Linked DNA regions of Callithrix jacchus. The protein of the gene in region 2 purifies or fractionates together with the protein of the main gene of each other region. This does not show direct contact. Links are inferred from orthologs where the notes say so. Each region holds a gene or a part of one and is shown on either strand. Other genes may lie near its edges.

Region 1 (2,814 bases), on a different chromosome or scaffold from region 2:
GGCTGACTCTGGATCATTCTCTCCTTGCCTCCCTGTTGCAGGGCCTGGCAGCTCCATCTTTCCTCTTGCTCAGGCCAAGTCTGTCATCCTTAACTCCTCTTCCAGCCCTGCATCCTGGTCACGCACAACCCCTATTGGCTGCACCTTCAAAATTGATCCTGAGGCAGACTTACTCCTCCGCTGCTACCTGCCTGGCCCGGGCCTGCCCCATCACCTGTTTCGGATCTTGGAAGGCCACCTGTTCAGTGACAAATTCTTGGGGCAACAATTTGAAAATTTCAGCACCCATGGTTTTCCTGCTGGTGTGGCTGCTCTCCAGCTCACTCTCGTCCTGCTCTCCCCAAGTGCCTCCGCTCCAGGGGACGAGGCTTTCCCTGGGCTGCTGCCTTCCCAGTCCCCAGAAGACGGCTGACCTGGGCTGCAGAGGCCCCCAGAGCAGAGCCTTGCCTGCTGCAGCAGCTCCAGCTGGAGGAGGTTCCCCTACCTCCTGCACCCCAACCCCTTCTTAGAGCAGCAGAGGCGGAAGCAGGAGCCCGCTTTGGAAAATGACATGTTTTTATTGCTATGTTTGCAGTGACTTTTTAGCACAGTAAGAATGTCCCTGCAGGCCTGCCACCCTCACCCAGCCCCAGCCCTCCAGCCTCTGTCCGGGTGTGGGAGAAGCCTTTCTCAGGGTCACTCAGCTGTCTCGGGACTGGGTGTGACACAGACATACGCGGGTGAAAGCTGCCACACGGAAGACTGGAGGTGCAGGAAGTATATCCGCCTTAAGCCTGGAGGTGGAAGCTGTGCCCGGGGTCCCTTCCTGGGGGTCTGCCCAGCCCAGGGCACAGGGTGGGAAGACTGAGCAGGCCAGACACCTAGGACGGAGTATTGCAGCCTCTTGCCCCACAGACTTGTAGGCAAAGGGACAGCGTGGGGACAGCCCTGAGGCCCCCACCACAGACTTTTCCAATCCAGTCTGGGGCTGGGGACCACACACGCACATCCACACAATAGACACACACACAACAGTTGGAAGCTTTTGTTTTGCCTATGAAAGTTAGATCTATAGATTCACACTCCTTGGCTAGGGGTAGAGGGGCAAGGTAGGGCTTATAGGGATGGGAATGGCAAGGAGAGGATGGTTTGGGCTCCTTTCTCTTTTTAGAAATACACAAGCAGAAATCTCACTCTCTCAAGTTTTTATAAAATGTGCAAAATACAAGCCTCCTTTGCCCAGAGGCAACATTTACATCTGGTATTCAGCTTTGCTGAGAGACAGAGATCTCTATCTACGCTACATACTCACGCACGCGTGCACTCGCACCCAAGCTCACACAGATTGGTGGCGACTGGCGCAGGAACCAGAAGGTTCCATTGCTGGCTGGCTCTCTAAGCTTCTGTAATGGATGGGGGGAGAGGGTGTAGCCCAGCTGAAGTATTTGCCTTAGCTCTGCTGCCCCTCCCTTGCCTCTCTTCTCTCTCTCCTCCCTCCCGCCTCTCCCTCCTTCCCTTCCTCACATTTCCCAAGCTGCCACTGCTGTTTCTGGGGTGAGGAGTCACCCAAGGGTGTGCTGCAGAGCCGAGGCTGGAGAGGTGGGCAGGGGTGGGCATGGCAGGGACAGGAGGAGGACAGCACTGCGGGTCGGGGGTGGGGTGCTAGGGAGGGCCTGGGACTAGCTTGGCTAGGGCTGGAGGGGGAGAGGCATCTATTTTTGGTGGGTTGTGATATTTTTGGCATTTTATTAAAAATGGAAAAAGTTATTTTAGTGAGCACTCATGGTGCTTTCTCCCCTCCTCCCCCAGGCAGACCCCAAAAGTGTCAGGGAAAGGCAGGCCCCCTGGAGGGATGGGGTAGGGCTGAAGCAGGGGCTGCTATGGCTACCAGAGGTGAGCTGGTGATGTGAGCTGGACTGTCACATGACACTCTCCACCACGACGACCTTGCTGCTCTCAGACACTGGGGTCAGGGTGGTCAGGCCCCTGACGTCCGCGTCCTGAGCTCGGTACTCCAAATGGTGGAGGCCCCAGATGGGCTGGGTCAGGTGCTGCCAGCGCTGCAGGAGAGGAGGACATGCTGTAGCCCCGGGTCACACCTGCTTGTCCCCAGGTGACCACTTCTGCCTTTCTCCAGTTCCCACTGCCTGCCAGCCCAGTTGGGGCTACTCCCTGGCTAGGAAGCAGGCTGGGTTGAATGTTCACAGCAGGGGAGGGGAGGGTGGGCTGGGCAGGGGCCTTACCTCGGCCATGGTGCCCTTGGCCCTGAGGAGGCAGCCCAGGAGGTGCAGCGGCACACACAGCATGGAGGAGAGCGCGAAGGCCCAGCCCATGGCCTCGCCCCACCACGGGTACACATAAGTGTTATTGTATACCAGTGGCTCGTAGTACACGACATTGAAGATGAAGATGCCCTACGAACCAGAATGCCATGGTTAGTGGGGCCCCCACCCTGCCCCACCTCCCCGACTCCACCTCCCCCAGCCCTTACCATGCAGACCAGTGGGGTGAAGAAGGACCAGCACCATTTCATCCAGGGGCAAGGTCGGTACCCGATCATACAGGCAATGTCGTCCATGAAGCGGTCAGCTCCTGCGGCGAGGTGAGGCGGGAGGGCCCAGCTGGAGACCTGCCTGCCCCCCAACTGTCCCCCAGCCCAGCCCTCAGCCATGACCTACCGTACACCCAGGCCACCACCACGCACTCCCAAAAGGCCTGCCAGAGCAGGGTGGTGCCACTGGCCGAGTAGTAGTCAAACAGCTGGAAGACGTACATCCCGCCCTGGGGGACAGAGTCCAGTGAGGGAAGATGGCAGACGGTCACCGGAGGCTACAG
Region 2 (3,752 bases):
TAATTAGAAAATTGAACTCACATCTGAACCAGAAGCTTTCATCACTGCATTCTGCGAAGAGTCTCCTTTCTTCCTCTGTTGGAATGTAATCAGGCCCTATGTCTTTTTACAAGGAAAATAAAAAAACATTAAATTACCCATAATAAAAGTAAGTCTGAAAAATTATATTAGCCTAAATATTAACAAGAGACACTTTTTTTTTTTAACTCAAAATATAAAACAACTGGCTTATACATTTTTTTATTTGAGACAGAGTTTCACCGTTGTTGCCCAGGCTAGAGTGCAATGGCGCAATCTCCTCTCACTGCAACCTCCGCCTCCCGGGTTCGAGTGATCTGCTTCAGCCTCCCGAGTAGCTGGGACTGTAGGCACCCATCACCATGCCAGGATAATTTTTTTATTTTTAGTAGAGATGGGGTTTCACCATGTTGCCCAGACTGGTCTCTAACTCCTGACCTCAGGTGATCCACCCATCTCTGCCTCCCAAAGTGCTGGGATTACATGAGCCAGCGCGCCCAGCCATTTACACACTTTTAACAAACTTTGACTTCAAACAGAAGTTAATGCTACTATCTGCTCATCAAGGACTGACAACGTAATGTGCTGGGCCCACTGCAAAAACAAAACAAAACAAAAAATCGTGGAACTCCTTGTCCAAATTATTCAGAATTTCAAGAGTAGAAACATGAAATCAAGTACAGGGGCCTGTCTGCACATGCTCATGAAGCCAGCCCACCTGCCACTGTTACTCAAACCAGTGAAATTTCCTTTGCATAGAAAGCGCTTCTAATTATAAATACTTAATAGATAGTTACGGGTAATTGGTCTTGGAACTTCTGCACTCGGCTCTTGAAAATCAGCCCTCCCATTCATCTTTCCTGTATCAAAAACATCACATATTAAGTATTAGAAACCATCACTAGTTAGGTCAAAGTAAATTAAGATGTAGGCTATAGTAAAACTACTAGTCTACATAGCAATCAATCAACAAGCATTTACTACACACCACAGTATCTTAGATACTTCACATAAAAATAGCTAGATGAAAAAGTAACAGACCTATTAATTTGACTCACTATTCAGGTTACGTTCCTTAATTGAAAAAGCATAAGCGTTTTATAAGTTTATACTGTTTTTTATTAATATCAAGACATAAAAAGATAGCAATAAAATAATATACATATCTTTTCCTCCTGAAACTGTTTGTTTCATATTATCTTACGTTTTGGTTGTTTTGCAAATCTATGCCCAATGATTAGGATAATTCCCCAAAACAGAAGAGAAAAAAATCTCAAGTCATTTTTGAGTTTCCATATTAAAAAACAAAATAATCATCAGAAACATTCAACCTTTCCCACAAAAGAGGACTCCAAAACTACAGAATAACAAAGACGTCATATCCTTCACCCTGTGATGTAAAGCTAACAACAAATTCCGTATCTCCAAATTTCCTTCCTCCCCAAGTATATATTATAAAAAAGGCATAAAATTCCAAGAACGTAAATTTTATTTGGTTCTTTAAAAAAAAAAAAAAAAACTCATATATTGGGACTTAGACCAACAGATCAAGTAACTGTATTTTACAGAATATTTACGCGGGATCATTATTTTTCTTATTTTAATAACAATTTGCATGGAAACAGGAAATGGCATACACAATTAATTCATTTAGTCAGTAAGCCATGAGGGCCTACTACATGCCAATCCCTTAGATCCAGAAAAGGAATAAAAAGGGTAAGCCGAATTCATGGATGGATGGAGCCTGCTGAATAATATACTTCTACCCTACAACCGCATTCGAAAAAAATGAAACTCTCTTATTTCTCACAACAGCATCCTTCCCAGAAACACCACAAAAACTGTCAGGGCAGACAAGGCCCTGGAGACAATACCATTTTAAGCACTTAATAAAAAAGAAAGAAGGATTGAAGCCCCAGCGGCCTACAACCGCTGATTCCCGCACTCCATCCTCCACTCCCTGTGTCCATCTCCCACCTGCCATTACTGACTGATCAACAACCCCACAGGCATTCCGTGACCACGAACTTCCCCAGCTCACACCCCCAGAAGCAATCCGTCGCCTCAGCAGTCACCGACACCAAGGAGGCCGAGACCCGAGCGCGATCTATCCACCCTCACAGGCAGGAAAATGGCGGAAGGTGCGAAAGTCGCGGATGGCCACAGAGGTGGTGAAGGCATACGCGGAGGGCAACTACGGGGCTGTGTGCATCACCTCACCCACCTCCTGTCTACAGCAGCAGACGACTGCGAAGCAAGGCCAAGCGATCAGGGGCAGAAGGCTCGAAAGGGACTAGGGAGGGGCAGGGAAGGAGAAAAGTGCAAGGTACCGCGGGGAGGGGGAGGGGGCGTACAGCCGCAAGAAGTCACCCAGACTGGGGATCTAAATGACCGCGACCCGGAGACAGTGGCTACCTACGGCAGGAAATGACGTCAGAACTCCCTGAGAGGTTTAAGAGCTAGCGGCCCAGGATGGACGCATGCGTATACTCGTCTCTCCTCCCTTCTCTTTCAGGCCGCGGCGCTCAAGAGCCGCACTGCGACTGCGCAGGCGACAGCGGCGGACCAAGAACCCCGCCCGCGCCCTCCCTGGGTGACGGGGAGGGTTGAGGGTAAGCTTGTCTTGGGCTATTGTGACTCACCTCTCTGGGCTTCCCTTGACAGGCTGGCGGGAACATTCTGGAACCCTATGTTGTCCCTTTTTGGAGAGTTAGCGACTTTATACATTTTATCATAAATGAGATAATTTCATTCTTTGACCCTGTAAGCTAAGTAGTGGAAAGTAATTTTTAAGCATACGTACCTGGTTATCTGTCATATCCTCGAGCCAAGTTTCTAAGAGTTCTAGAACCGCTGTCAGGGTACCGTAGTCTCTCTGAGCCTAAGAATTTTCTCATCTGAAAAGTGGAAATGCATATAAGTTTATTAGAATTAAAACAACACATCTAAAGGTTTTAAGCGCTCAATGTCTGTTAATACGGGGCTCATGACTTCCGCTTATGGGACATGGTGCTGCCACACCCAGCCAATCACTACTCATTTTCATCCATTCCTTCCTCAAGTATTTATTAGTACCAGGGACTGGAAGTTATTAGTTACTAAACAGTGGGCAATCCAAGTCCTACTCATTTTATCAACCCTAAAAGCCTCTCAGGTTTCTCATCTCTTTCTGAGTCCCTTTGCCATTTTATCATTTCACATTTACTCTCCCGCAGACATAATTAAGAGAGATGGTCATGTAAAACAAGTCCAATCCCGAGTTGCCTTCCTTAGAGTCTTTTGATAACTTCAGTCATGCACAGAATATAAGGCCCATGATGGCTTGGCCTCTGCCTTTTGAGCATCACTTTCTTCTCTTGCAGTGTTCACTAATAAGAACCAGCTGGAGGTCTTTGCCCTCAGTGTGCTCTGTGCATTGGTCCCTCAGCACAACTCTATTTCCTGCTTTGTCAATTCTATTGATATTTCAAAATTCTGCTTTTACATCACCATCTTTGTGATACCTACCCTGAAACACACCCCAGAGAATTACTCAGTCTTCCTTCTTAGTCCTTAGCTTGTCCATACTGCTGTCACTGCAGTGTACTTCTGCACTGCATTATGATCTTTCTTACTTATGTCTGTCTCTCTTACAGAGCTCCTTTAGGACAGAGACCTTGGCTTGTAAGTCTTTATCGAACCAAATAAATCCCTGAGGTAATCAGTATTGGTAACTAATACTCATTTTGTTCCTG

The links. Proteins that work in one complex are often made in the same cells at the same time.
Region 1: the proteins of OCIAD1 (region 2) and SLC6A8 purify together in Homo sapiens (co-immunoprecipitation; 3 studies listed by BioGRID and IntAct, with this or other methods). This does not show direct contact. The link is inferred for Callithrix jacchus from reciprocal best matches to the Homo sapiens genes OCIAD1 and SLC6A8.

The regions. Positions count from the first base shown.
Region 1 is NC_133524.1:149,612,010-149,614,823, reverse strand, and holds the end of SLC6A8 (sodium- and chloride-dependent creatine transporter 1), read right to left. Parts: intron 2,761-2,814; coding exon 2,658-2,760; intron 2,572-2,657; coding exon 2,471-2,571; intron 2,394-2,470; coding exon 2,223-2,393; intron 2,040-2,222; coding exon 1,899-2,039; 3' UTR 1,868-1,898; exon of another isoform or gene 861-1,867; 3' UTR 538-860; downstream 1-537. UniProt on the Homo sapiens protein: Creatine:sodium symporter which mediates the uptake of creatine. Plays an important role in supplying creatine to the brain via the blood-brain barrier.
Region 2 is NC_133504.1:144,982,377-144,986,128, forward strand, and holds the start of OCIAD1 (OCIA domain-containing protein 1), read right to left. Parts: upstream 2,403-3,752; 5' UTR 2,003-2,402; coding exon 1,996-2,002; intron 879-1,995; coding exon 816-878; intron 103-815; coding exon 22-102; intron 1-21. UniProt on the Homo sapiens protein: Maintains stem cell potency. Increases STAT3 phosphorylation and controls ERK phosphorylation. May act as a scaffold, increasing STAT3 recruitment onto endosomes. Involved in integrin-mediated cancer cell adhesion and colony formation in ovarian cancer.